2 linked regions of the Cricetulus griseus genome follow. The protein of the gene in region 2 purifies or fractionates together with the protein of the main gene of each other region. This does not show direct contact. Links are inferred from orthologs where the notes say so. Each region holds a gene or a part of one and is shown on either strand. Other genes may lie near its edges.

The links.
Region 1: the proteins of Ptpn18 (region 2) and Pstpip2 purify together in Homo sapiens (affinity purification with mass spectrometry; 4 studies listed by BioGRID and IntAct, with this or other methods). This does not show direct contact. The link is inferred for Cricetulus griseus from reciprocal best matches to the Homo sapiens genes PTPN18 and PSTPIP2.

What each region holds. Positions count from the first base shown.
Region 1 is NC_048595.1:162,159,006-162,174,530, forward strand, and holds part of Pstpip2 (proline-serine-threonine phosphatase-interacting protein 2), read right to left. Parts: intron 12,619-15,525; coding exon 12,556-12,618; intron 7,852-12,555; coding exon 7,753-7,851; intron 6,243-7,752; coding exon 6,197-6,242; intron 6,049-6,196; coding exon 5,969-6,048; intron 4,297-5,968; coding exon 4,198-4,296; intron 3,289-4,197; coding exon 3,192-3,288; intron 2,505-3,191; coding exon 2,423-2,504; intron 830-2,422; coding exon 795-829; intron 1-794. UniProt on the Homo sapiens protein: Binds to F-actin. May be involved in regulation of the actin cytoskeleton.
Region 2 is NW_023276807.1:13,554,738-13,570,262, forward strand, and holds part of Ptpn18 (tyrosine-protein phosphatase non-receptor type 18), read right to left. Parts: intron 14,815-15,525; coding exon 14,706-14,814; intron 14,467-14,705; coding exon 14,390-14,466; intron 14,302-14,389; coding exon 14,206-14,301; intron 14,122-14,205; coding exon 14,083-14,121; intron 7,486-14,082; coding exon 7,417-7,485; intron 5,982-7,416; coding exon 5,919-5,981; intron 5,661-5,918; coding exon 5,518-5,660; intron 4,642-5,517; coding exon 4,575-4,641; intron 4,494-4,574; coding exon 4,416-4,493; intron 4,319-4,415; coding exon 4,229-4,318; intron 4,143-4,228; coding exon 3,952-4,142; intron 3,286-3,951; coding exon 3,080-3,285; intron 2,719-3,079; coding exon 2,644-2,718; intron 2,480-2,643; coding exon 2,412-2,479; 3' UTR 2,400-2,411; intron 1-2,399. UniProt on the Homo sapiens protein: Differentially dephosphorylate autophosphorylated tyrosine kinases which are known to be overexpressed in tumor tissues.

The sequences.
Region 1 (15,525 bases), on a different chromosome or scaffold from region 2:
AACTTGAGCCGTCCACTTCAAGATTCAGACAACTGCCTTTTTGTAACAACTAAAAGCATCAAAATACAAAATATGGGCACCAAAGCCCAAATTGATAGTCATGACTGCAAACCAGAAAACATTCTAGAAATCATTATTTGCTCTTTTTCATTCATGGGTATGTCATGGACATCATCAAGAAAGGACAAAAATGAGCCGGGCGTTGGTGGCTCACACCTTTAATCCCAGCATTTGGGAAGTAGAGGCTGGTGGATCTCTGTGAGTTCGAGGCCAGTCTGGTCTCCAGAGAGAGTGCCAGAATAGGTTCCAAAGCTACACAGAGAAACCCTGTCTCAAAAAACCAAAAAAAAAAAAAAATGCTATGTGTGGTTCTGTCTGCAGTACTGCAGAGGAGATCAGCATGATTGGAAAATGACTCCTTTTTAGGCAGTGTGCAACATTATAATTAAAGGCTGCAGAGTGAGACTGTACCTCAAAAGGGAAAGTTGTATAGTAAGATTCAAACATAGGCACAATCTCTTAGGAATTCCATCCTGTCACTCATGCAGCCCAGGATAGCTATGAACATGGCCCAACACAAACTCAAAAACTTAGTTAAAACACATTTATTTATTTATTTATTTATTTATTTATTTATTTATTTATTCTTGATAACTAGACTACACTGCTCTCAAGTACAGACTCTGTAGATGATGGAGCTGTGTCATGAAGCCCACGTGTCAGGCATGCCTGGTTCTAATTTTCACATTCTAGCTATTCAAATTCCAAGAGGCTTTTCTTGGTGGCATACATACCTGGTAAACGTTTAGGAACTGGGAGAGGTCCTCTCCTGTAAGAGATGAAAACCAAAGTCTTTCAGGCGAGCTCTAATTATTTTTACACCTTTCTACTTCGTGCTGCAAACAAAACACACTGTAATCAGCTGGCTTCTATCCTAGAGAGTCAGGAAGGCTCAGATGAGGCAAATGATTTGCAGCCCTGACTTGCAGAAACCCAAAAGGCAAGCACATGTGAAGCCAACAAGCAGACTGCACAGCAGTCAGGAGTGTGGAGCTCTGCCCAGGGCCTGCTGTCTCGATTTTAATTTCAGCTGTTGGAACAAAATTTACTGACCCCCTGGCGTATCAGAGTCTTTGTACATAGGATGAGAAACACAAACAGCTCTCCCCTCTCTGGGAGAATTGTCAGCTCAGTCATATTACTGTTTTGAAAGGCCCTTACTATTGACAGTATGCATTGACCTCTCCTAAACACTTACCACTTTCCCTAAGACTGGACAGAAAACTCGACAGATGAGACCTCATCCCCACCCCACCCCCACTGGCTTGGTGTGAAATAAAAGTTTCTTTCCCTCAAGACCCTTTATATTAGGAGCAGCACATTTTGTTTTTGTCAATGGGCCCAATGGAAGTGGCTCATTCCACTTTGCTGACCACAATGTCTCTGGCACACCTCTGCTTAGATCTAGTAGGAAGACAGCCAGATAAAAAGAGAGATCCACTGATTATGCTCCAATGGCTTTCTATATGAACACCAGTCATTTTAAATTTATAAGCCAGGGCTGGGGAGATGAATCAGTGCTCAAGACTGCAGAGTGCTTGCTGCTCTTTCAGAAGAGCCAAGGTCAGCTCCCAGTAACAGCCACCTGTAACTCCAGCTCCAAGGAATCTGATGCCCTCTTGTGACCTCTGTGGGCATTCACATACACAAAGCATGCAATGACACAGTCACACACACACACTTACACATAGCTAAAAATAATTAAAAAGAAACATAATGGCAGGGGCTGGAGAGATGGCTCAGCAGTTAAGAACACTGACTGTTCTTACAGAGGTCCTGAGTTCAATTCCCAGCAACCACATGGTGGCTCACAACCATCTGCAATGAGACATGGTGCCCTCTGATGGCATGCAGGCAGAAGACTGTATGCATAAGAAATAAATAAAATCTTAAAAAAAAACATAATGGCTCATGACTGCAATTAATCCTAGTACCCAAGAGCTGGGGAAGGAAGATCTCTGTGAGTTTAAGGCCAGTCTGGGCTACAGAGTGAGGTCCTGTCTCAAATAAACAGAGAGACAGAGACAGAGAGAGAAATCCTTCTTAACTCATAGGCCCTATGAAAACTTGCAGATGAGATCTGACTCAAATGGGGGCATAGTTTGTTCATTCCTGTGTTCTTCCAACCATAGGAAGGCATAGAATTCATAAACAAGTAATACTATAGTACCCCAGAAACTGCAATTAATAAAGGTTATATAATATTTGTTCTAAAAATGCTATTTCAAAAAAACTCAGTTTCCTTAATAGGTAAATTATGCAAATTTTGGTCAATTTAAAATTAAAGGTAATATCTTAGATCATTAATAATATAAACACTTATTAAGATTTTTTCTTCACATGAAAAACAGTTGGTTATTACCTTGCTACATTGGGCCCTGTAGTCTTTCCTGGTGGGGCTGCATTCCGCTGAGGAGAGTAGAAATTCTCATACATGATGGGTGCTACAATTTTTAAGACAGAAGGTATCAGAAAAGGGTAAAGGTTGGGGTTGTCTCACAGTTGGTAGAGCACTTGCCTAGCATACACAAAACCCTGGCTTTGTCACCCAGTGCTTCATAAGACAGGTCTGAGTGCACATGTCTGTCACCTCAGTGCTCAGGAGGTGGAGGCAAAAAGATCTGGAGTTCAGTGCCATCCACAGATGCACAGCAAGTTTAATTTTAGCCTTGAATACATGAGACCCTGTCTCAAAAAAGAAAAAAAAGGTATAAAGACCTAGAATGCTCCTCAAGAGCCTATGTGTTAAGACTTTGTCCCCAGCTTAGTGCTAAAGGAAGGCGACAGAACCTTTAAGAATTATAACCCAGTAGGAATATACCAGGTCAGGCCATTGGGGGCATGCCCTGGTCTCCTCCTCCTTCACATCTCCTGGCTGTACAATGAACAGTCCATTGGGCCACTGTCTGTCATAGTGCGCTGCCTCAATACAGCCTGCATCAACTGACTGGACTAAAGCCTTGAAAACTCTAGCTAAAGTAAACCTGTGTCTTACTGGCCGATTCACATCAGGTATTTGCTACAGCAGCAGAAGCTGACTAATACAGTGTATCTTACATCCTCTGTGACCCAAGACAAGAAAGACTAATACCGTTGCTTAACTGTCCCTCCCACTGTGCCACTCGGCTCACCGGGTGGGGTCTGTCCAGTTTTACGCTGGTTCACAAAATACTGGATGTCCTTCTCAATGCTGCACATTTCCAGACTCTTGCGGACTTGTTCGTACATCTGACAAAAACAAGATAAAGCATTATGTAGAAGTTTATTGATGATAATTATGGCACCACTCAACTTTCATGAGCCACCAACTCTTTTTCGACTTTGTTTTAAGAGTAGAAGACATTCCCAAGTCCAAAACTCACATAAGGGCACCCTTATAGTCCATTTGTTCTATTGCCTTTTTTAAATGAAAAAAATAAGATACAAGGAAATACTTCTTTCTGGGCAGACCAAAACCCTGGTTACTTCTTTTAAGTATAGATGGAATAAAGAAACTACATGCCAAGCCCCATGAGACAAGTTCCATGACCAAGTCTCAGTGCCACACACAAATGCAAACACAACTACTTTAATTTGTGGATAAGTTCTTCTCAGTTCTATAGGTTTCCTGGATATCTGATCATTCTTCTAAAGTCATGTCCCACCTAAGATCAGGGCTATTTCTTAGCTAAGGCTGTGACAACCTCACCTGGTGTCTTTGATATCTGGGGACCCAGTTACTATTGCTGCTCACAAGTTAATTCTGGACAAGCACCATGAAGCCACAAAAGCAAATCCTCACCCTGGGTGACCATCAACCTGCCATGGGTCAGTCTGCTAATACTTGGTGCAGGAAGTGATGGCACTCTACACTGGAGCTGTCTCTGGGACTCACATTCTTCTGTGACATCTGTCTTCCACACACAAAACTGTGTTTGGGTTTCATTATCTGTTGTCCACCCCTAACTTAGAGAGTAACCGTGGTAAAATGGACTGGGAATCAGGAAAATGAAAGCAATACTCAAGTCACTATCTCTCTGTACCTCAAATAGAAGCAGGAAGTGGGGAGAGGATGAACTAATAAACACTGATGGTTCTTTTCTGCTCTGATGATTCTAACCTGCAGAGCACAGCCCTCTGTGAATGCCGATGACTTACTTCATCATTTGTGACACATTGCTGTGACAGCTGATTTACATGTAACCACAATGCATTCCGGAAGAAGCTGATTCGCTCACATTCTTGGGCCTCAAACGCCTACAGAAAAACAATTACATGTGTATAAATACATAAAGAAGGGACATCCGTTTAGACTGGCTATGACTTAAACAACATAAACCTACATTGAGGAGTGGAGTTTAAAAAGTAAAGCAGAAAAAAGTACTTAGTGTGGGCATAAAGTTCCTGAGTATCAAATTGTAGCGATAAATCAAACGAGATCAATCAAATAAGATTTTTTTTAAAAATCACCAGTGTTAGTCTGGGGGTACAGCTCACTGGAGTGGTGCTTTGCCTAGCATGCATAAGAAACCACAAAGGCCCACTGGACCTTACACCAAGGGCATCCCAGGTATCCATGAGGGAGGAGAAAGAAGGTGTGGAGAATAACCTTTAGGATGAAACATGGGACATGCAAACAACTTCAAAAAAACATGACTGGCTGAGAACATATCTCAGTGGTAGAGCACATACAAGCATGAGGACCTAGGCTTGATATTGATTCCCAACACACACACACACACACACACACACACACACACACACACACACACACAGAGGCACACACAGGCACACACGAACACACACAATACATGCACCCACACGTGGGCGCACACACAAGCACCCATGTGCACATGCACATCGAGGGAGACAGAGTCAAGGACAAAAAGAGAGAGTATATCTCTGGCTAAGAAGGGAGAAGACTGTGCCAAAGGGTGTAGAGAGGCCAGCTGGACAGCATGAGACTCCTTGACAGGGCAGGGAGCAACTCCTGAAGGAGAGCTGTAAACCAGCACGCCTAATTCTTGAATTCACTGACACTGCTGGCTGCCACCCTGAGAGTTCCTGACTCCAGAAGGCCTGGACTGAGCTGAGAGAGCCCATATTTTTACCCAGTCCGAAGATAATGCTGGTTCTGCTGGCCCCGGGACGCTGTTAAAAACTGACATCAGAAAGTTGAGGAACTTTCCAGCTTGTATCTTTTAAGTTTTCTCTAGAAAATTATGGAGTCCTGTGTATTCCCCTTAGAACCTAGCAAGTACAAGCCTGACTCTCGGAATAATTACAGTGCTCAACCCACCACTAACTGATGTATCGGGATCATGCCTGCGCTAAGCAACCATTAGCTTTGGAGTGACCTGGACAGTGAGGTCAGGCTTTGGGGGGCGGGGTGGCAAAAGGATGAGGATTAGATGAAATCATTCCAATCCCTTCCAGTCTTCACTTAAATTCTCAGTTTCTAACTCATCCATGGGCTCGATGCCTGAATGAAACACGAAGTGCTTGTTAGTAGTATTCAGGCATCTGTACTGCCTGTCCTTAGGGTACTAACAGGATTTGCCCTCACCTGCAGCCACCTGTGCCTATTCACTGTGTTCCCTTTTAAGTGGGCCCTGCCCACCTCCCATCTTTCCCTCTTTCTTTCTCTCCCTCTCTCTGTTGCCCCCCCCGCCACTCCCCCACCCCTAACCCCACCCTGCTTCCTCTCTCCTGCTGCTCCCTTCCCTGGAGGCCAGTCTCCCCCCCCCTTCCCCTTTTTTACGATCCCTTTCCCTAATAAAAACCCCTCCACTTGAACCCTGGCATCTCATGGCATTTTTCTCTCTCACGCTGCTTTTCTTAAATTACAGCACTAAAATGAGAGCAGATTCTCAGGTTCTGGAAGGAAGATGTGCTCAGTCTCACACTGCTTCCAGTCCCAGGTACCTACCTCACAGGCTTTAATGTGCTCACTCTGCCAGTCTTCTCGGACCTTCTCTAGCATGTTGATGTGCAGCATGTATGCTTTGTCTGCAATGGGCAGGGGCTTGATTTAGAAACAAGACAGGCTTGCTGGATTGTAGCTGTTCCTTTCTGATGCCCGTTAATCCTACATATTCTTAATAATGTAAACAGCCCCCAACCACTACCACCCCCGTCAGAGCACCTTGCCCCTCACCTGAATCTTCTACTGCAGTCTTTGAAGTTGCCAGTTTCACAAAAAGCTGTGAGGACCAAAACCAGAGAGAGATTAGGAAAGCCTATCCCACGGGCAAACACTTGTGAAAGCAATAGTGCTGGAAAAGCAAGATCTGGTCCAAGCCCTACATACACTGCACTTAGAAGCAGATCAATCTTTCATCTTCTCAGCATCAGAAAACAACAATCCTATGTCTTCCTACAGACACATCTCCTTGCCCTCAAGCTGTGGATAATACTATATTCAGATGATACATTATTAATTTGTTTTATAGTTTTTGTGTGTAGGAGTGTTTTGCTTGCATGTATGTCTGTGTACCACCTTGTGCCTGGCACCCAAAGAGATCAGAAGTGTTGTATACCCTGGGACTGGAGTTAAAGATGGTTGTGAGTGGCCATGTGGATTCTGGGAATCTTAACTCAGATTTCCTGGAAGAGCAGTCAGTGCTCTTAACTGCTGAGCCATTGTTCCAGACATATTACTAAATGTATTATTTAATTTACTAATATTATTATTTCAGCCCATATTATTAAATGTAGAACCCTCACCCACAAGAAGTATTCTGTCAACAAAGAATACATGAGCTGAGGTTTGAAGACATTTAAAAAGAATATGAAGCCAGGTGGTGATGCACACACCTTTAATCCCAGCACTTGGGAGGCAGAGACAGGCAGATCTCTGAGTTTGAGGCCAGCCTGGTGTACAAAGCAAGTTCTAGACAGGCTCCAAAGCTAACAGAGAAAAATCCTGTCTCAAAAGAACCAAAAAAAAAATCAAGCCTCCCATTCCACCCACTGTTCTCCAATGTGTGCTTCTCTGGTACTTTCAGTCAAGACGGGGCTGATGAAACCTATAGATACAGCTGACATGAACAAGGGGGAGCGCATGGACCCCAGACTGATATCTGGGAGGCCAGCACAGGACTGATCCAGACCCCTGAAGGTGGATGTCAGTGAGGAGGCCTCTGCACTCTATGGGGCCTCTGGTAGTAGATCAGTATTTAGCCTTGGTGTAAGAAAGGATTTGGGAGCCCATTCCATGTGGAGGGATGCTCTCTCAGCCTAGACACATGGGGGAGGGCCTAGGCCCTGCCCGGGATGATACCACAGACCTTGGGGATCCCCCATGGAGAGCCTTACCCTCCCTGGGGAGCAGAGAGGAGATGAGGTAGGGGGTTGGAAGGGGAGAAGGGGAGGGAGATGGAGGAGGGATTGACATGTGAAGCAGGCTTGTTTCTAATTTGAACTAATAAAATAATTTCCTGGGGAAAAAAAGTGTTACAAGGACTTTTGGTTTTACTCTGAAGTTTACAAGCCAAAAACATTGTTGCCAGAGACTTGGGATAGAAATCTCTTTTTATTTTTTGAGATGGGATTTCACTCTGTAGCCCAGTCTGGCATTAACCTCGTGACCCTCCTGCCTCAACCTCCTGAGTCCTAGAGCGACATGCATGTGCATCATACCAAACCCTAAGTTGGCTTTAAACTGACACAGGTGCATCTCTGACTCTTCAGGTTGTAGACCATGCTAGGTACCTTTTCTTGCTGCCTTGGGTTGGCCACGTTGGCACTGCGATGGACAGCCTGCTCCGCCTCATCCTTGTCCCGGCACTTCTGTTCATAATTCTTCTTGGCCTTTGTTTACAAACAGAGGGTGAATATGGGTGAGCAGGGTAAGAAATGGGACTTGAAGTGTATATAACTAATTTTTCTGATTTTTCCTTGTTCTTGAAATTTTCATACAATTATACACAGCAATATGATTGTATGCACCCCCATGTATATAACATCTAAGATGTGTAATCCAACATCTGTGTGACATTTATAATCCTTAGAGTCTATGCAATCACTCAGTCACTGGAACCAACTTCCTCTCGTTCTCAACAGGCATCAGTATTCTAGAGTTCCCAGCCACTGCCATGCACAGCAAGGGGCACAGCAATGCTATGTCTCTTCCACTTTGGTCATGTTTCTTTTTAAAGACTTCAGTTCAACATAGGTTAAAGAATTCTGCACTGAAACCAACTGGCCCTGGGCTTCTTTTTTGGTTGGGAGACTTTTGATGATTGCTTATATTTCATTAGGGGTTATAGATCTATTTAAATTGCTTATTTGTTCTTGATTTAATTTTAGTAAGTAATACCTATCCAGAAAATTGTCCATTTCCTTTAAATTTTCCAATTTTGTGGAGTACAGGTTTTCAAAGTATGACCTGATGATTCTCTGTATTTCCTCTGTGTCTATTGTTAAGTCCCCCTTTTCATTTCTGATTTTGTTAATCTGCATATTCTCTCTCTGCCTTTTGGTTAGTTTGGATAGAGGTTTGTCTATCTTGTTGATTTTCTCGGAAACCAACTTTGTTTCATTGATTCTTTGTATTGTTTTCTTTGTTTCTACTTTATTGATTTTAGCCCTCAATTTGATTATTTCCTGGTGTCAGTTTAAAGTAGCCAATGGCCTATCTAACACCACTACTACTACCAGGATTATAGAATCATTTCACAAACTCTAACAATTGTTAAATCAAGAAAATTAGTTTGTTTCAGGTCTAGAAACAAAGCCTTAGCTTGTTTAAACAACACAAAACAAAGCTATGGATCAAACAATTAACAAATAAGTCAATATGATAGTTATACTTGACTAAGAATGAAGATGTCCTTTCTTGGCTAGAGAGATGGCTCAGACACCAAAGGCTTAGCTCACAACCAAAAATACAACTTATTTCTTGGTTTATTTCTCTTCAGCTGCCTGTGAAACAGAGATCAAGTGTTGGAACCAGACTGCAGAGGTTCAAATCCGGCCTCACCAATATCTGTGTACTTGTTTTGTTTTTAATAAATTCATCTCTGTGTTTTTGTTTCCCCATCTATAAACCAAGGATTCTTATGTCCAAAGGTACATGAAGACAAAATAAGACACAAAATGTACTTTTATAGTTCTTACATGTGGACATGTGAAATTGAGCCCACAGAAGCAGTTTCATTCAATTGGAGATGATCTCCAAAGGACAGTGGCTTCTTTGGAGAGGTGGTTTGTGTTTATTATTATACACACTTCCCTATATTTCTCATAAGTAAGTTTCCATAATTCAACTGTGGTTATTCTTTCATGAGCTTTCTCTATATGTTGTCTGTTATGTTATATTAGCTATATACTCTATAATTACATAGCATGTAAAATTTTATTATAGAAATAGTATGTTCCTGGTTTTCATAATTATATGAAAATGCATAATAATCATGTAAAAAGACCTGTATAATAATTCCTTTTATGCAACACCTTGGAGATCTCTCTCTCTACCAAACATGATCACTATACCTCCACACTTCCTTGAGGTACTGAGAATGGATCCTAAGGCTCTGAACTCTAGGGAAGAACTTTGCCACTGGCTATATCTAAGCCCTTGGTTTTCTGAGTCAGGGTCTCATTATGTTGTTCAGGCTGGCTTTTGACTTGCTATGTAACCCAGGCTGGCCTCAAACTCATGATCCTCCTGCCTCAGACACCCAAGTGTTGGGATTGTCTATATGTACCACCACCCTGCTATGGCATCTAAAACTCCAAAGCATTATATATAAAACCAACCTAAGATTCTGAGAGTGAAAATTCACAAAGACAAACTGGCTAGTAACCTTTGGCCAAAGAGCAACCCAAGAGTGAGTTTCCTTGCCTCGTACATTATAGATCCAGTTCCAAGAAGCAGGTGGCTCAAAAATACAGTAACAACTCAAAATATTTTTTACCTATTCTCCTTAGTCAAAAGACTAGAAAAAGGCTAACCTAACAAAAACATAAACTTAAAAAAAAAAAAACCAGTCCCCTGATACTAAACACAGCATAAATAACAAGGACTCAGACCAGCAAGACGGCTCATTGGGTAAAGGTACTCACTGTGCAAGCCTGTTGACTTGAGTTTGACCACCCTAGACCCACGTAAGGTGTGGAAAGAGAAAACTGACTCCACAAGGTTCCTCTGACCTCCACATGAGTGTCATGAGACACACACACACACACACACACACACACACACACACACACACACACCAACAAAATCAACAACAATAAACAAACTAGGGCTCACTTGCACAAGATAGTAAAAGCCAATGAGAGAGTCTAGACTCCCATGGTTACCACGCTGTAACACCCAGATCATCTGAAGAGAGATCAACAGCAACAGGAACTGCAGTGTCTCTTCTTCAAGACAGGAGCAGTAGTCCCCATGTGAGGAACCTGAACTTCTACCCCTCCTTGTCCAACTTGACCTACTGGACCTACAGTAGTCAAGTCCCTTCCCTCCTGGGGTAGTAGCAGAGGAAGTTTAGTGGAAAATGGAACATCTGATGAGGACAAAGGGGAACCTGAACTCTTAACCCCAGATAAGAGTAATGAAGCAATTGTATCACCTCCTACTGGCATGCTGTCACAGGAAACCAGCTAAAACATGGCTTAAATAACCCAAACCTTTTTCTGTAATACCCTAAATATCCAAATCAATTGAGTATCACCCAAACCAAAAACTAGAAAAAAAAATATCAAACTGAATGGACAAAGACAATCAAGATGACAAACTTTAGAATTGTCTGACCAACAATAAGGAGGCCTTTGCACTCCAGGGAGTCTCTGGTGGTGGATTAGTATTTTTCCCTGGTGCAAGAAGGGACTTTGAGAGCCCATGCCATGTGAAGGGTTACACTCTGGCCCTGGACACATGGGGAAGGGCCCAGGACCAGCACAGGAAGATTTGGTGGACTTTGCAGAGCCCCCGTTGAGGGCCCTACCCTGCCTGGGGAGTGGTGGGTGGGGGGGTTGGGGTGGGGGAGGAGGGTTGGGGGTGAGGGGAGGGAGAGGGAGAAGGGACTTACAACTTGTTCCCTAACTAGAACTAATAAATAAATCAAAAAAAAAAAAAAAAGAATTGTCCGACCAAGACTGCAAAGAATCCTTCAAACAACTACACACCAAAACAAACCAAAGCAAAACAGCATGGCAAAGATACAAAAAAAAGCTAAGGAAAGAAATAGAAGCAAAAAGGAAATCTCGGAATTGCAGAGTAGTTTGAAAATACAAAAGCCCGATGAAGAACAGAAGAGATAGTGGACTAAATGAACAGTAAAGAGTAAGCATCACCTCATGTGACCAAGAATATATTTGGTATTTTGTCACCACTGTGATCAAGAGGCAGCTGGTGGGAGCAAGGATTTACCTTAGTTCACCATCCATCATGGCAGGAAAGGTATGGTGGGGTCCACGGCAACAGAACCTATTCCTCCTCACTCCTCACAGCTCAGTGGATTGGACCAGGAAGTAGAGAAAGGGAAATGCTGGAGTTCACCTGGCCTTTTCCCTTTTCCCCTTTTAATTCAGACTCAGAGCCCAGGCCATAGATGTTGTTCATCCAGTAAAATGAGCAACAATCGAGGTTCAGAATCACCATGAGATAGAAAGTTCAAATACAAGATAAATTGTGTGTGTGTGTGTGTGTGTGTGTGTGTGTGTGTGTGTGTGTGTGTGGTGATAAATAGGATATGTGTGTATATGCATGTAGTGTGTATATAGTGTGCGAATATTTCTATGTGTGTGTGTCTCTGTGTGTATATATGTGTGTGTGCACCTGTGTGTCTGTGTACATTGTGTGTATGTGTGTGTACATTTGTGTGTCACATGCTTTTGTATCACATCCTAAAATATTTAAGTGAATTGCTTACTTTTATAGTTGCTATGTGAACTATTCCAGCAGAGATGAACAATACCATCAAATACCAAGAGACCAAAGAGATGATTCTACTCAAATCCAGCTTGGTGGACTAATGAGTTTGACTGTGGACATTTATAGGAACAAGGGTGAAAGGTCACTTACAGAAGCATAAACAACTTATGGGTAACTACACCGCAGAGGAAAAGTCTGCCCCTACCTAGGGCTGTTATCTACCCGGTCCTTGTTGAAGGCATGGCCTTGTAAGGCCCCTTATCCTGCTTGTGACCACTCATTCGCTGCCCTGTGAGCCTCCCTTTCCTGCAGGAGAGAATCTTACTGGGTCCAGTCTTACTAGGGATGTTGGTAGTCACAGATATTCTGACTTAGAAGGTAATAGTCATGCCATGTCCAGAGGACCGAGTTCTACAGCCAGCTCACCAAAAACAAAACAGCACTGCACGCACTCTCCCATCTTCAAGCTTCCCAGGACCTTGGCAGGAAGGAAAGCCAAGTGTTTCCCTTAACAGCTCCCTGATAAATGGCATCATTGAAACATCATTTCAGTAGGAGCATGTTCATGCGCAAGCACAGAATTCCCAATAATTGTCACCATTACAAAAACAGCAGCAACAAGTGTGACTCACATCCATGGTTTTCTTGAACTGTGAGTTCCTTTGTTTGTGGGCAGCATCCATTATAGTTTCTGTCTGTGAAGAGAATGCAAACACTGTCAATAAAAACTGCAAGTTCCTGCTAACAGCAACTTGTTTTGAGGGCTTAAGCATTCAACATGGGTAATCCAGTTTAGCCTTCGTATCACCCAGAAGCGAAATATGCTATCTACAGTCTCTTCGTCACAAATGGGGACAGTACACAACAGAGACTAAACTCCTTGCTCAAGAAGTCACAGGAAATTAGTGATGCTGCATCTTAATTAGCCAGGCACTCCCACGCAGGGTCCTGAATGCTCAAAACACCACCGAAGACTCACTAATCACATGGAGTGCTTTCTTCAGCAAACCTAGAATCAAGGACTTTGGTTTCAAGAAGGAATTTTAAATTTTATTAAAATACTATTTGTATTTTAAAAACAGCTTTATTCTGAAAGCTATGTCAGCACAGACAATTAGGAGCTCAACCTCCACATCTGTGGCCCATCAATGACAAACACTTTACAACAAGTCACCAGGGGAAGAAGGAGGTATCTGTGGCACCGCTAATGGAAACAATCCTCTGCCTCATCTAAGCCAGCAAGGTAAACTCCATGTAGTTCACCTGAGCATGGTTTCTTCATTGCAGTTGCGATGGTGGTACTTTTGTTGGCCAAAACAATGCTGCTCATAATAAATACCTACCTCTCAGACACAGTTTTTCTAGCTTCCATTCATCTATCACTTCTATATGAAGCATTCTGTGTAAGTACTACTTCGCCATTTTCCTGATGGCAATGAACTTTGTGAGCCCAAAGAAACAAAGTCAGTGTGGTGGTCTGGATGACAATGGCCCCCAGAGGTTCGTATATTTGAATGCTTGGACTCTAATTGGCGGAACTGTTTGGGAATAATTAGGAGGTGTGGCCTTGTTTAGATGTCTCAGTAGATAAGGGCACTTGCTGCCAAGCCTGATAATCCAATCCTCAAGACCCACACAGTGGGAGAAGAGAACCAACTCTTGCAAGTTGTCTTCTGATGTTCACATGTACACCATGGCATGTACATATATGCATGGACATGCTCATGCACTTACACATGTACACACGTACACACACACTCACACACACATGCACACACAGAGAAAAGAAAAATGAAACTTCAAAAAAGAAAACAGGACTAGAGTGATGACTCATCAATTAAGAGCACTTGTTGCTCCTGCAGAGGACCTGGGTTCAATTCCCAGCACCCACGTGGTGGCTCATAGCAGCTGCATCTCTTACTCAGGAGCATCTCTGACACTTCCTTCTAACTTCCACAAGCACCAGACACACACATGGTATGCAGACATAAGCAGACGAAACACTCATATATGCAAGATAAGGACTTGTTTGTTTTTTGGGACAGGGTCTCACTATGCAGCCTTGGCTTTCCTGGATCTTACTATGTAGATCAGGCTGGCCTTGAACTCACAGAGATCCACCTGCCTCAGCCTCCCAAGTGCTGGGATTAAAGATTTTTTTAATCTAAATTTAAAAAAAATAAAGTTATATAAAACATCCTATTAAAAATTTATTAGGCTTTTAAAACTAAATCAGTAAATTATATGAGGAGACACAGCTCTATACTGTATTTGCATAGCACAGCCAAGAACCTGGATTCAACCAGCAGCATAAGAGAAAAAGAAAGAGTGGAAAGAAAAGCAAACAACTGACTGGTTCTTTTGATGAGTGGAAACAGCTCGATTTCTAAGAAGTGGAAAGCCAAGGCATGCACTGTGACAATTTTAAAAAGGGAAGTTAACATTGACACATTTTCCCCTAAAAGTGTTCAAAAAAAAAAAAAGGTACCCAAAGCCACCCCAGAGTCCATTGTGAAATGCATAACTACAATTTTCTAAACTTTTCAACGTTTTGAAAGTGACTCCTGCTGAGAAGGGAACTTGAAGTGAGCGTGCAATGCTCTTCTGCGCCTCTCACTCCAACCACTTGGCATGTGTAACATTAGCGGGAAAGTTCCAGAAGCTGTGCAGAGCTAACAGCTCTCCCCACAAAGAACAGGGCTTCTGAAGACACCTGAGGATGTGAGGAAACTGCCCTTTTTTAGTGGAGTCACATATGCATAGTTCATTGACAAAGGTATTATGCTTCTTTTATTTTTTAACTGTTCCACATAAGACACGATCTCTCCTTAACTTTTTAGTTATTCTTTCCTTCCCTTCTTTTTGAGACAAGGCTAAACTAAGTAACTCCCACTGGCCTAGAACACATTGTGTAAACCAGGCTTGGTCTTGAATTTGCAGAGACCTGCCTGCCTCTGCCTCCAGGGTGTTAAAGGTGTATGCCACCACACTCAGCTTGCATTTTTTCAAATTGTATATCTGTGCCTGTCTGTGTGTGCTCATGCAGTACCCATGGAGGCTGGAAGGATCTAATACTCCTGGAGCAGATTTCCAGATGGTCATCAGCCATCTAACATGAGTGCTGAGAATGGAACTTATATCTCCTGCAAGGACAGTACTCAACGGCTGAGCCATCTTTACAACCTCCAAGTTCCTTTGCTGTCATTTGGGTGGCACATGCCTTTGATCCTAGCACTCAGGAAGCAGAAGCAGGTGAATCTCTGTGAATTCCAGGCCAGCCTGGTCTATGTAGTGAATTCTAGAACAGCCGGGGCTATAGAGAGAGACTCTGTCTCAAGAGGGAGCAGGGGAGGGAGAGGAGAAGAGAGACAAAAACTGTCAGGACTGGAGAGATAACTCAGCAGTTGAGAGGACCCACATTTGGTTCCCAGCACCCATGTCAGGTGGCTCCCAAACTCCTGTAACTCCAGTTCCAGGGGATCCAGAGCATCCATGTGTACCCACACACGCATGCACAGACATGCATGCATACACACAAATTTAAAAATTAAAAAAAGAACCCTTTGTGGAACAGGTACATGGGAGCGGTCAGACGTGGGTAG
Region 2 (15,525 bases):
GATCAGCCCCAACTTTCCTCTTAGAGTTTAGATTCAACTGAGGGGCTGAAGATTCCCAAGGTTTCCTCCTCATCCCCACTTCCTGTTTGCAGAGCTATTCATGGCACAAAGATCTTCAAGCATTTGACAATGCCAACAGACACTGTGGCCAAATAAGGCATGTTTCATACTCCTTTAAAAAAAATATTCGAAAGGCAATGACTTCCCAGGACCACTGTGAACCTGGGAGCCTGGGGCTGATTGTGGTCTGACAGTCATGAAGCACTGTGTAAAGCTCTTGGACTGAATTTTCAACCTGCTCCTTACTGAACTCTCTTAACAATCATTCTAGTAATGTGTGCCCAGCTAAGCAAGTTCCTGGTAAGAGCCTTCATCAAATTCAAGACAGCCTTTCCAAGAGCCTGTCGGAAAGTATAACCAGAAGTGACTAGACGAACAACTGTCATATGGATGCTGACTTGTTTGTGGACATCATGGGGGGTGGGAGGCAGGGGCAGGGGCAGGGGCAGAGAATTCTGCATATATTTTATTCTTGTCTTCCCATCTCAAGAGAATCTACTTTCTTGCATCTCAAGAAAGAAGGTTTGGAGTTCTGTCTTTCTGGATGGCGTACTATTTATCTGACTGGGTGATCCATTTCTCTGACCAGCTGGAGATCTTTCTTGCTCATTGGGAGTTTACGTGAGAGTCTAGCTATATGTCTCTCTAGCTGGAGACCTGCATGTCAATTCAGGCAGGCATCTGTCTGAGGGTTTTGTCAAATTAGGACTCTGTCTGGGGTTCACTTTCCAGTGAAGTCTTCTGTCTCACTAGTGTCTATCCAGAAGGTGACAGGTCTGTCACTCTGGGTTTGGTTCATCTGTCTTATTAGGCTAGAGGTCTATGTAGCTGGCCGCAGGTGTGTCTGCCAAGTGGCAGCCTGATTGTTCTTCTCAAGGATGACTGTCTACTACAAACTGTGAACTATTGTGTTCAGTATCTTGGATAGGCCTTTCTGCCTCCTCAGGGTCTGCCTAGACAGATTCTAATTTGTTGTGCCCCCACCTGTATGGCTGGAGATGTATTTGTACTCATCTGGGAGGCTTGTCTGCTCATCTACAGTATTATGTCTGACCAGCTGGCATCCTGCCTGGTAATCTGGCTAGCTTGTGTCTATCTATCTATCTAGCTTGGAATTTGGCTGGCAAATTTTGACTCGGGATCCATCTATCTCTATCCGAAGGTAGTTTGTCACCCAAAGGTCCAGCCATTATGTGGAGTCCCTATCTAGATGAAGGCTGGAAGTCCATCAATCTGCTAGCTGGGATTCTACCTGAGACTATGACAGGTCAGGCTAGCTGTTCATGGTCTGAATAGTGGGATGTATCCAGACCATGCATGCCCAACTAGGGATGTATATCTGGCCAGTTGACTCAACTATCTGGCAGCTATCTGACAAAAAGGAGAAATGCCAAAGTGTCCACCCAAATAGGAGTTCTATGTAGGAGAAGCTCCATCTGTCTAGACAATTGGGAGTTTAGCAGATGACCTGTGATGTTTATACAGTCCCATTCTGTGTATGGCTGGAAGGTCAGTCTGTCTGCACAGTTTAGCTGGGATGTCTGTCTCTCAGTTCATCTGGAATCTGTTTATGTCTGGAGTTCTGTCTAGCTAGAGTCTATCTGGCTCTCTAGCTGACAGAGGGAGGGTCTGACTTTGGGGGACTGGGATCACTGGCTAGGACTGGTCTTAAAGGCTATTGATTGATTGATTTCTCTCTGGCTGAGGTCCATCTGTTTTGCCATAGACAACCCCTCCAGAGGTGTGGGTATTTAGGGATCTAGCTCAATGTCCAAATTTGGTGAACCATATGTTTTCCTATCTAGAATCTCCTTTCTTCCTTTCTTTCTTTCTTTCTTTCTTTCTTTCTTTCTTTCTTTCTTTCTGCCTGTCTGGGGTTAGTCCACTTGGATATAGCTAGACTTGACCTGGATCTGTCTGAATAGCATGAGGGCCATCGACCTATCCTCAGGGACCATCTGCCTCATCCCCCTGTGGTCACCTGATTGTCCGGGCAAAGGAGGTCCCAGTACTGAGGATATATCTCTCATTCTGTGGGGAGGGTTCCATCTCTGGAAGCTTACCAATAGATTATTATATCCTCTTGGGTATGTGCGGAGGGGGCTTGCAATGCCTACTCCTGATGTTTTTTCTTAATTTTTCTCAGGGTAGATTCACAACCAGCGATCTCCCACTTACCTCTCCAAGCCTCGGGCTTTGATTGCTATTAACCATTGGGCAAAACCCTTATTTTTTCCACCCTGAGAAACTTTTGTTTTGATGCAGACCCATAAATCCTGTTCCCAGCACAGCGCACAGCAGCATTTTGGCTGCAGAAGTCCAGCCCCTACTGAGCTTACCTGGCACAGCCCTCACACCCTTGTCCACTCCGCTGGAGGATCCCGTGGCCCTTTGGGTCTTCCAATGCGCAAGTTGAAGCCTGAGAGAAGGGTGCCATGCAGAAGTTGAAGCGTGAAAGGGTAAACTCTCCGAAAACCCCATCCGTGCATCCCCAGATCCTGGTATGTGAAGGACAGCCTGAGTCCCGCACTCCCAAACTCCTGGGGCTTTCCAAAACTGCACCCTGGGCTCTAACTGACTTACCGAGGGCACCCGTCTGCGCTCCATTTGTTACTTCTTCATAGGCATCAGGCCCGGGAGGGTTTTGATCCGCAGGAACTGAGGGCGGGAGAAACCCTACGGGTCAGCTCAAGCAGCCTTCTGGAGTCCCAGTGACTCTAGAGCTCAGCCCCAGACTTGTCTTCCCGAGGTAGCCGGTTGGAGGCGGAGCCTTGGGCGTCGCCAAGTCCGGAGGTCTGTCTTTGGGGCCCCGCTAGACCCAACCTCTCAACTGAAACCTACCTGACATGGGGTTCACTTTCGGGTTTGAACCCCGACAGTCAAGAGTCCCGGGATGAGGCCAGAATAGGTCTGGAACTGCCGCTTAGACCCTCCATCCCCACCCGGAGCAGGTGGGGAACATGGGAACAGGTGCGCGCGGGTCGCCCTCACCCCGCATCCCGGGCGGGCCCCGACTCACCATGGCCGGGTGGTGTCGTCCCCCTCGCGTCCTCGGTGTGTGCCACCGGCCGCTGGGAACGCGGAGCCACCTGGCTGTAGATTGGGGCGTCCGCGCTGCTAGGCACCCGCGTCCCCGGCCCTGTGCCCGCGGGGGCGCCACGCTTCTGCACCACGGCGTAAGTGTCGGCCATGGGAAGGGTCGGGGGCCCGGGCACCGAGATGCTCCTGCAGCGGGCAGCAAGCAGAGGAAGTGAAAGCGCCGAGCACAGGGAGAGCAGGGGAGGGAGCAAGCTCACCCCAGGCTGCCGGCTTCCTTCCTGCTTGCCTGCCCCAGTCCCCAGAGCAGGAAAGGAGGGAAGGGGCGGGCCACCCGAGGGCTGAAAGCGGGGTTCCGTGTCCCTAGTACCCATACAGCAGGAGGGGACGGGGACAGATTGCCAAGTGGAACTAGTGAAGGCCCAAGCGAAGGCAAGCGTGTGTGTGTGTGTGTTACCCCAAAACTCCTACATGAGATGGGAGACAGACACAGGTGAGTCCCCCACAGCCTGACAGTATGCAAAATGAGACTAGACTGTCTCAAAACACGTAGAAGGTGAGGCCCCATGCCTAAGGTTGTCCTCTGACCTCCCAGTAGTGTGTACACACAAGTGTATACACACACACACACACACACACACACACACACACACGAGAGAGAGAGAGACAGAGAGAGAGAGACAGAGAGACAGAGAGAGAGAGAGAGAGAGAGAGAGAGAGAGAGAGAGAGAGAGAGAGAGAGCCTAAAACTTATTTGCCTAACTAGTTACGGTCTGGAAGAGCAAGGGAAAGCTAATCCAGACTGTAGAGGTTGGTGGGTCAGAGAAACAGTGGGCTGTGAGTGTCAGCCAGTACCTGAGAACCCCGCCTGGAGGGCGGGATGTGGCAGACAGGGCTGGGGAGGTCCTGAGAGATGAGGCATCCTTGCAGATTGGGGCACAGTTCTGCAGGAAATCAGGCGGGGAGGGTGGTGAGGCCACACTCCTTATGCTGGTCACTGTGGGTGCTGAGGTAAGCTCATGAGGGGACAGCCTGGGGAAGGAGCCCTGAGGAGGCAAAGGCGCCTTTCACAGTGAGTCGGTCCCTGTTCTCAGGAGGGGAGTGAGAGTGTTGCCCAGGAGCTCCTTTGTACCTCCTTGAGATTCTGGTAGTGGGGGCTGGCTTTCTGGAGAGTACGGGAGAATAACTGGGCCACTGTGTGGTACAGGAACCTGTACTGCTCCTGTTGGGGTGAGTGGTCGGTCACTGAGAAGGGAAACCGGGGAAATACAGAAGCCTCCCTGTGTCCCCGGGAACGGGAAGGTGGGGCAAGCACACACCTCTGTCTGCACCGCAGCAGGCCGCTGTTTCCGCATCTCAAGGACCACGTCGAAGAGGCTGAAATTGGGTGGGATTGTCTGGGACAGAGAGGGGGAGTGTGAACAGGCCGTGGTAGGCAGGTGTGGGACACACCGCACACAGAGAAGTCTGCCTCATACCTGGGTCAGCAGCAGCTGCCTCACGTAATCAACAGCACACAGGACACCTGTTCGTCCGCAGCCGGCACTGACAAGCAAGAATCAGAGCAGGCTCCATCACCGCCTGCTCACAGCGACTTTTTCCCCGTTCTTCCATTCTTGCTCTCCTCCCCCTTCCCATAGGTCTTGCTGTGTTGCCCAGGCTGGCCTGGACTTCTGGATCTGTTTCCTAAGTGCTGGGAAGGCAGGCCTGCTGAACGGTACAGATAGATGCCACAGCCCCTTCTACATGGAGAATTAGGAGCTGAGCTGAGGGAGATCCCCTGCAGCATCTCTTAAATTGAAGGATCCCTAGATTATAACTTCAAATAAAACCTTTTATGTACACTAGCATGCACTCATATGGTGTGAGTGTGTGTGAGAGAGAGACAGAGACAGAGAGAGAGACAGAGAAACAGAGACAGAGAAACAGAGACAGAGGAGACCAGAGATCAACATTATATTTGAGTCAGGGTCTCTTACTAAACTGGGTGCTCACAAATTGGCTTGACTGGCTGGCTAGCAAGCCCCACGGATCCACATGTCTACCCTTCACCCAGCCCTTGGGTTACAGGGACAAGCCACCTGTCCTGGCTATTCCTGGGTGCTAGAGACCTGAACTCAAGTCCTTGTACGGCAAGTACCTTACCCACTAAGCTATTTCTTCAGAGCAAGAAAACCCTTTTTATTCACTTAGGCTTGTGACATATCAGCTATATGCGTACTCCCCAGTAGGCAGCCTGTGCTCGACAAATGCTAACGATTCCAGCTCCAGCTCGTTGTATCATGAATATGTGGCTACAAGTTTCTCCAACGAGGCAACTGAAAGGGGAAGGCTGGTTCCAAGCCATAACCTCTCTTCCTTGCTTTTCTCACCCTCTCCGGTCTGCCTCCCCACACCCCCAGAAAGCCCATTTCCCTAAACCTGCAGTGGACACAGAGGGGTCCAGGACCAGCTCCTTGGAGACGATGGGCTTCCTCCACCATGGTGAGAATGTGATCAGGACTGCTGGGAACCCCGTGGTCAGGCCAAGACATATACTGTAGCTGGCGCACACAGCGGGATTCCTGAACAGAGGATAGAAAAACATACTAGAGTTCTAAGCATGTTCCATTTAAATCCACCAGATAAGGCTCCGCTGAAGAGCCCTTGCATATAGCATGTACAAGGCTGTGGGCTCCATCCCCAGCACCACAAAGACAAACAAACCCACTGCGTTATAACCGAGGGGGATGAAAACTGATTACTATCGTGAGCGCCCATTTTACAGCCGTGGAAACAGCTCCTCCCATGCAAGAGCCCCTTCACCTTTGCCCTTTTGGTACCTTCTGGAATGTAACCTGGAGGGTCCTGAGAATGATGTCTGCATTCACTGGTGTCTCCTTTGTCTGAGCATGTGAGAAGAGGAAAGAGAAAACAAATGAGAAGCAGAGACCTTCAGCGACACATTTCATATTTCTAGAAAGCAAGGGTTTGGGTTTTGTTTTTGTTTTTGAGACAGGTCTTGCTATAGAGTCCAGGCTGGCCTCCAGCATGAGATCCTCCTGCCTCAGCTTCCCATGTACTGGGATGACACGTGTACTACCAGGCCTGATGGAAGCAAAGCATTCTTGATTAAAGCTAAATACTAAAAAACATTTAAAAAAAATTCTCTGACCTGTGCTGCTGTTCTTACATTCCCGGGATCATAGATTTATTTCCCATGTGGTTAAGAGACAGGAGAGCTTGCTGGTCATGGCTTACAATTGAGACTCTGTTAGGCTAGCTCACTTGGTGTGTCCTTGTTACAATTCTCAATCCTCAGTGAACTTATGGGTTTTGTTATCTTGTACATTCTCATTACATATTTTTTTTAACTTCAAAAGAATATTTTAAATGGCTTCACAGTCAGCTAGGTGGTGGTTATACATGCCTTTAATCCCAACACTCGGGAGGAAGAGGCAGGCAGATCTCTGTGAGTCTGAGGACAGCCTGGTCTACAGATTGAGTTTCAGAACAGCTAAGGCTACATGGAGAAACCCTGTCTCAAAAAAAAAAAAAAAAAACAAAATCAAAAAAACAAAAAATAAAAACCAGGTTTCACAGCCAATGATATTTCCTTTAGGTAAGTATTATGTTATTGTAAATATAGCCATATATTTTTAATTCAAATAAATTTCTATACTGATAATATTTATAGATTTTCCTTTGGCCCAAACTTCTCCCAAAGATTTCAAGAAAACTTTTGTCAGAAAGGGAAAGAGGAATGACTATAGAAACCAAATTAATCCATCCATATTCAACACAAGAGAGTTCTATTGTTCTGAAATAGAATGGCCTCATTGCATCTGTTAATGGTTAACTTCCTCAATGAAGGACTACTTCCTCCAGTTCTCTGCACATGGTAAAGAAATAGGAATTGCAGAAACCTGAACAGGTAGATTTGGTTACAGAGGTAACAGTAGACATTGTCAAAAGTGCTAGGGCCTGGGAAGAACACTTACACAGCATGTATGAAGTGTTGATTCCCTTGATTCTCTCTCCAGCAACACACACACACACACACACACACACACACACACACACACACACTCATGACAACAATAAAATAATAAAAGTGAAAATAAGTTTTAAAAGCTTTAAGTTGTGTTCTGGGGGCATGCATGACAAACCCAGAGTATTCTGGGTTTCCCACGGTGTAAGAGAGCTGTGAGAAAATGGCTCATCCTTCCAGGTCCAGCCCCAGGCTTCTCATTCTGTACATCTTCCTTGAGATCTCCCACACCTCCCAATGCCTGCAGAGCCCTCCTTGTTCCCACCCACCCCATCCCTGCCCCAGCTCACCAGGGTGATGCAGAAAGGCCCAATCTGCAGAGGCTCCTGCTTCTGGGCCCAGTACCTTTCACACTTCTTCTGCAGAGGGAGGGAGGAAAGGCAAGAGTGAACAGGGCGGTCACTTCCAGAGTGACAAGACACCCTAAGTGTGACGTGTGGAAGGGCCAGCTGCTGGGGTTGTAATAGAGCCCAGCTACAGAGTGGGACATTAAACACGTGCACACTCCATAGGGTCAAGCTTTTGTATTTGTATTTATTTATTTATTTTGTTTTGTTTTGTTTGTTGTTGTTGTTGTTTTTGAGACAGGGTTTCTCTGTGTAACAGCTCTGGCTGTCCTGGAACTCACTCTGCAGACCAGGCTGGCCTTGAACTCACAGAGGGGCAAGCTTTTGATCATACTGGGAGAAGATGCTCAGGACATCTTCCTACGGCCTGGAACTAGAACTAAGTCATAAACCACTGCTTCTCAGCACAGATACGAGCGCTGTAAGGCTGTGGTCACTAAGTGGACTACTGCCTTGATGTGTCACTAAGCTGTAGAAACTAAAGAAGCGCAGGTGATGTCTCAGAGAGGGCAACACAGAATTTTCAGGGAAGAGAGAGCTACGCAAACAAACCAGGGAAACAGAAAGGGTCAGATGATAAAATATCCAAGAGATTTGGCCACCTTCCTAGAAAAGTAAAACACTTCAACACAATCTGACACTGAACTATGCGGCACTTAAAACACCCAGCATAACAATGTCCTTGACAAACAAAGATATAGTGACATGTGACTTGTTACCAGGGAAATAATGAAGGAGCAGAAAAAGACCCAGAAGCAACAGAGGAAAGAGGCAAAGACCTTCAAATAGCAATATAAATAGTCAAAATGGAAAGATGAATAGAACAAAGAATGAAGTGTGAGATGCAAAACCATTCCTAAATGGAATTCTACAACACTTGAAATTCACTAGTAGCAGGTTAAACCCAAAAAGAAAGAAAAGTGCTGAACATGAATACATTGCAACAGAAACAAAGCAAAAAGAGAAGATAGGAAAACAAGAGAATCAGTCCTTTGTGGGACACAACAGGTGATACCTGGAGTCCAGAAGAGGAGAGATGGACAGAAAAAAATTTAATTAAAAAATTAATTCACTATTTTATGTGTTGGGGTGTTTTACCTACATGTATGTCTGGACACTAGGTACATGCCTCGTGCCTGAGGCTAGAGAAGGGCATTGGATCTCTTGGACTGGAGTTGCAAATTGTTGTGAGCCCCCATGTAGATTCTGGGAATTGAACTTGGCTCCTCTGGAAGAACAGTCAGTGCTCTTAACCACCGAGCCATCTCTCTAGTCCCAGGGAGAACAGAAATCATACTTGAAGAAATAAAAGCTGAAAGTTTCCCAAAGCTGATGAACTAGAGGCTAATAAAGTTGATAATCTGCACTGAGGGGGGAAATACATAAAGAAAATGATGTTGAAGCACACCATGACCCAACTGACAAATAAATGAAAGAAAAATGATAATAATAAAAAAGAAAGAAAGTTAATAATAATAAAGAGAAAAGTCTTAAAAGCAAAGCAAGTGGGATGACAATTTCTTTCAGAAATCATTTTTTTTATTTGTTTGTTTTTTTGTTTTTTCGAGACAGGGTTTCTCTGTGTAGCTTTGGAGCCTATCCTAGCACTTGCTCTGTAGACCATGCTGGCCTCGAACTCACAGAGATCTGCCTGCCTCTGCCTCCTGAGTGCTGGGATTAAAAGCGTGCGCCACCAACTCTCGGCTGTTCTTTCAGAAATTCTACAATCCAGAAGGCAATCATGTGATATCCTAAGAATATTGGAATAAAAAAGAAACCTTGTGCTAGATAGTTAGTTCAGCTGGTAAAGTTGCTTGCCACCAAACCTGACAACCAGAGTTTTAGCCCCAGGTCCCACATGGCCAAAGGAGAGAAGTAACTCTTGAACAGCTGTTCTCTGACCTCCACACACACACATGGGCCATGGCACACTCATATTCCCCCCTCAGGTAAATTAATAAAATAGAAACCTTGTCATACACACACACACAAAAAAAAAAATGAGACAAGGGTGCTTGAGAGATGGCTCAGAGGTTAAGAGCACTGGTTGCTCTTCCAGAGGACCTGAGTTCAATTCTCAGCAACCACATGGTGGCTCACAAGCATCTATAATGAGATCTGGTGCCCTCTTCTGGTATCCAATCATACGTGCAGGAGGAACACTGTATATATAATAGATAAAGATCTAAAACAAAAACAAAAACAAAAAAAACTAGGCAAATTCATTACATGCAAATCATGAGGAGAAGATTCTCATATAAATGAAACAGGACACTAGATAGAAACTTGAATGTATAGAAAACAGTAAAGAACAAAGACAAAAGCAGGTATGTGGCTACTTTAAAACATTTCTCACATTTTTGCCTCCTGTAAAAAACAATCTAGTGGCATTTGCTAAACAAGTAAGGCAGAATCAATACCAACCCTTCACACATCCTTGCAAAAACAAAACAAGAAAACCTGAAGGAGCATGAACATGACTTAGCACACTAAAGCCGAGTATGATCCTACCCAAACCAGGGATCACAAGGAAAACAAAGTACCCAACAATGTCTCATGAACTTAGAGCCCAAATTCTCAAGAAAATACTAGCCAACTATTATACATCATGACCAAGCAGGATTAATCCTAGGAATGCACAATTTTTTGACAATGAAAATCTACTAGTGTCAGAGCTGGGGAGATGGTTTGGTGGGAAATCCAGCACTTGCTGGAGATCCAACTTTGGATCTCCAGAGCATATGCAATGCTGCACACAGTAGAGTGTGTTTATAATTCTAGCATTCTTTCAAGACAGAAGACACAATCCCTGGAAGCTTTCGGGTTAGTGACAAAGCAACAGAAGACCCTGTTTCCAACAAGGCAGAGGGTAAAGACCAACACCAGAGGTTGTCCTGTAACCACCACACACACTCATGCTATGACTCACCACACACACACACACACACACACACACACACACACACACACACACACACCGGGAGGGAGGGAGGGAGGAGGGAGGGAGGGAGGGAGGGAGGGAGGGAGGCAGGAAGAGACAAATGATTAAAAACAACCAGTTGGTGTCAAATATCATATTAATAAACTACATAGCAAAAAACACTGGGTCATATGAATAGATGGAGGGGCAAAAACCTTGACAAACCAACATAGCTTCAGGATAAAAACACGCCTTCAATCCCAGCAATAAGGAAGCAGGGGCAGGTGGATATCTGAGTTCAAGGCCAGCCTGGTTGACAAAGTGAGTTCCAGGATAGTAAGGGCTATGCAGAGAAACCCTGTCTCAAAAAAAAAAAGATTTATCTTTATTATTTTCAATTGGGGAGGTCATGTGTATGTGAATGCAGGCGCCTGCAGAGCCCAGGATGGTTGGATCCCCTGGAGGTGGAGTTACAAGTGATTGTGAGCTACTTGATGTTGGTGCTAAGAACCAAATTCTGGTCCTCTGCAATAGCAGAATGCACTCTTAACCACTAAGCCATCTCTCTATTCCTGTGAGTGGTTTTCTTAATGAGTGGGAAGTGTAAAATAATGACTGTTGAGCTGGAGAGAGGGTTCATGGGTAAGGGCAACTGATGAACAAGAATGAGAATCTGAATTCAAACACCCGGTACCTACATGGGAAGACTGGGTTGCACCTGTAACCCCAGCACTGTAGAGGCAGAGGCAGGAGGATGACTGGGGCTTGGTTGCAAACCTAGCTCCAGGCTAAGTGGAAGACCCTGTCTCTAGGGCAACAGGCAGAAAGTTGATAAAGCTGATAAAGCAGGATACCTGACATCCTCCTCTGGCCTCCATATGTGTGTGCAAAAGCACACACACACACACACACACACACACACACACACACACACACACACACACACCACACACACACACACACAAATAGGAAGTGTTAGTGAACATATGGAGAAACTCAAACCCCTAGCTGGTGGAATCATTAGAGGTATAGCCACTGTGGAAAAAAAAAATTAAACAGCAATTCTACTGCAGAGTTACATTAAAAGAACTAAAAGTAGAGGGTGCTAAAAAGATAGCTCAGCAATTAGGAGTGCTTGCTTGCTGCACAACCATGAGCATTGGAGTTCAGATCCCGGAGCCCATATAACAAGCCAGGCATCCTCTGTATACCTGCAGTCCCAGCTCAGAGTGGGCAGAGACAGGAAGATCTCTGGGGCTTGCTGGCTTCGAAGCTAACTGGGAAAATTCAAGCACTGAGTTCAGGGACATATATACTGCTTCAAAAGGAATAAGAATTCAGACAAAGTGTCACAAGCCTTTTAAACCTAGCAATGTGGCAGGAGCAGGGGGCAGGGACAGGTGGATCTCTGTGAGTTTGAGACCAACCTTGTCCACACATTGAGTCCCAGGCCAGCCAGGGTGACATAGTGAGATGTATGCACACGGGTGCCACATCCATAACCACACACATGGGTACACTGACACACAGACACAAGTACACACTGACACACATAAGTGAAGTAAAACAAAACCCAGAACCAAACAGATAACTGTTCACCAGTGTATGCAAACAGCATTATCCAAAGTAGTCTAAAAGGTAGAAGCAGCCCAAATGTCTATCAACACATGAGTCAGTAAAGGAAATATGACATAAAGCAATGGCATAGTCAGTCTTAAAAAGAATGAAATTCTGATGTGACAACATGGACACACCTTGAAAACATCAAGTGAAATAAACCAGAAACAGAAGGCAATTCAGGGGAAAGAGGGGCTTTATGCTGTGTGTGTGTGTGTGTGTGTGTGTGTGTGTGTGTGTGTGTGTGTGTGTGTGAATGTTAGATGTGTTTGGATGCCTAACAAGGCCAGAAGAGGGCATCAGATCCCTCTGGGGCTGGAGACACAGGCAGTTGTAAGCTGCGTTCTGGTCCTCTATAAGAGCAACAAGTACTCTTAACTTTCAGACATCTTTTCAGATCTTAAAAGGCAAATTTTATGTTTATATGTATTTTTATATGTTTTAAAAGACCCAATTAGAGACTCCTTCGTATTCCCAACAATGGCTATACAGAGAAAAAAGCAGGCAAGATGGCTCATCAGAAAAAGGCACTTGTTGCCAGGGACTGACCTTGTGTTCAGTCCCAGGAGCCACATGGTGGAAAAAGAGAACTAATTCCCAAAGTTTTCTCTCACCTCCATTCCACAGTATACACATGCACGCATCACATGCCCCACACCCAGTAAGTGAAATGTATTTAAAAAGAGAATAACAAATGCTGGCGAGGACCTAACGAAACCAGAGTTATCATGCATTGTGGATGAAAACGCAACCTGATGCAGCTACGATGGAAAACAGTTTGTCACTTCCTTAAAATGGAGTTAAAAATAGAGTTCCTCCATGACCCAGCAATTCCACCCCATATATACTCGAGAAACGAAAGTTGATGTCCACTCAAAGACTTGCATATGAATGTTCATACTAGGGTGATTCATTGAAGCCAAAATACTTGAATAACCCAGCATCTACAAACTGCTTAGAGGAGTGAAATGTAGAAACATTCAATGGGGCACTATTCGTCAACAAAAAGGAGTGAACCATGAACACACTGCTACATGCACGAGCCAAAAACACAAAGAGAAAGAAGCCAGGCCCAAAAGACGCAGGCTGCCCAATTCCACTGTATGTGAAGCAGGCAGAATAGGCAAACCTGCAGTGATCGGAACTAGACTAGGGAGTTGCCTGTGGCTCTAAACATGGGGTGTGACTGCTAACGGCTTGATGGAAATGTTGATGGTCTCCTAAGTTGCCCAAGCTGATTTCAACTTTCCATCCTCTCACTTTGGCCTCCTAAGTACTGCAAGCAGAGGAGGGAGCTGCTATGACTGGCTAAACAGGTGAACTGGATTCCAGTAAAAAGACATTAGCTTGTGTAGCAAAAACAATAGCTTGTGTAGCGTAACCATATTACTGTCATGTGTATTTCACATTTAGAATTATCCAGCGCATTGAGGTGGATAAGAACTGTTGAGGTAGAAAAGGAAGGAGTTACAGGTGGGCGTGCTGGGGAGCAGGAAGCCATGTGACTACCCAGGTAACTGAGCAAGCAATGTCTAAGGCAGAGGACAGCCATAGCACTGGCAGGAGCAGAACCCTCTCCGGCTCATCTGAGGAATAGCCAAGACCAGCATATGTAAAGCAGGGAGGAGGACAGAAAGAGCAGAGGTGAAACTGTTCATTTCGGGTCCTCCACCATGTCATGGGCTGGTGGAAAGCCCAGGCTGACAGCACTGAGGGGACAACGCCATGATCAAAAGCAAAAGGATCAAGGCAGCCAGGTGGTGGTTGAGCACTCCTTTAATCCCAGCACTCAGGAGACAGAGGTAGGTGGATCTCTGTGAGTTCCAGGCCAGCCTAGTCTACAAAGTGAGTTCCAGAACAGCCAGGATTGTTACACAGAGAAACCCTGTCTCAGAAAAACAAAACAATGAAAGCTCAAGATAAAACTATGACTAGCGGCTTTTGCAGAGCTATAGTGGAGTCAGCCAAGGACTGGGCCCAGGGTCCTAGGGACAAGAAGGAGACCCCAAAATTCCTTCTCCCTCCTCCCTACACAAGCCTTCCTTGCATGCTGGGAGGTTGAGGGTGCATACCCGTCCATTCTCTGTCTCTTGACAGGCCATCAGGATCACCTAGACAAGGAAGGGGGCCGTTGGTAAGGAGAAACAGGAAAGAGGGAGACCCAGAGCCATGCCCCTTTGTCCCTCAAAGCTGACCTTCACCCGAAACTCCCAAACCAGGCGCCAGAAGTCCAACAGAGTATGAGGCAGGGGTCCTTGTGTTGCGATGTAGGCCTGGCTTCCATCTGTGCCCTGGGAAAGACCCATTCATTTACAAGATCCTGAAGCCCACCCTCCCCACCCTTGCCCAAGCCACCTCTTCCCTAGTTACTAGCCTGACCCGGATGAAGTTGGCATTGATGTAATCTCCATGTCCCTCCTCCTGCAGCAGGGAAAGGATAACACGCGTCTCATCATCTGCCAGTGGGTGAGACACATGGAGAGATGTAGGCCAAGTACCCCAGGCGAAAGCAAGCAGGGTAGCAGAGCACTGTCCCTTGTGGCTTCAGGGAATAATGCAGCTGCCTCAAGTATTGGGGGGGGGGGTTAGAATGCTTTGGGGAGCTCTTGGGGCCAGCAGTGGGTAGCTTCTGCCACTGGGGCTCTGCCACCTAGCATTCCTGAAAGTGGTATTGACTCCCTATCCACTGACTTACATGGCACTATGTCTTTGTAGCGGTTCTTCTTCGTGTTCCCAAGCCGACTGCCGACCTTAGTGGAGCACACACCTCCAGTCTTCCAGGCCACTGAGCGGGCCTTAATATCCTGGCAGAAGGCACCATGAGTCAAAAGAAGAGAAAAGGCAAGAGAGAAGAAGAAAGAAGCCAGGTCAGAGTATTGGGATGCTGAAACATCCAAAGAGTTCAACAGACTATGAAAGACTAGTGCAGATCCATCAGCAAAAGGATCTGTGTAATAATATCCAGCAACATAAGCCGGCGTTGGTGGCGCATGCCTTTAATCCCAGCACTCGGGAGGCAGAGGCAGGCGGATCTCTGTGAGTTCGAGGCCAGCCTGGTCTCCAGAGCGAGTGCCAGGATAGGCTCCAAAGCTACACAGAGAAACCAAAAGAATAAGAATAAGAATAAGAATATCCAGCAACAGTAAGTGCAAAACGTGCCCCGTGCTGGGTGATTCGGTCTTCCTAAGTGGAAACTCTCCACTGTCCCCATTTTGCAGATGAAAGCTGATGTAGGAAGCGGTTGAGCAACTTGCCAAAGGTCCCACAAAGAGCTTGCCCTCCAGACCTGCACACTCAATCCACATTATACTGTATCATAAGTAATAAAATGCGCATTATCTGGACCCAAAAGTTTTCTCAGTGGGTAAAAGCACTTGGCGTTCAGGCCTGAAGATTTGTACTCAATCCCCAGATCCCACACCATAATAAGGAGTGAGAAGCAACACCAGAAACTTGTTCTCTGACGTCTACATAGGTGCTGTGGTACGCAAAAGATCTCCATCCCCAAACAAATG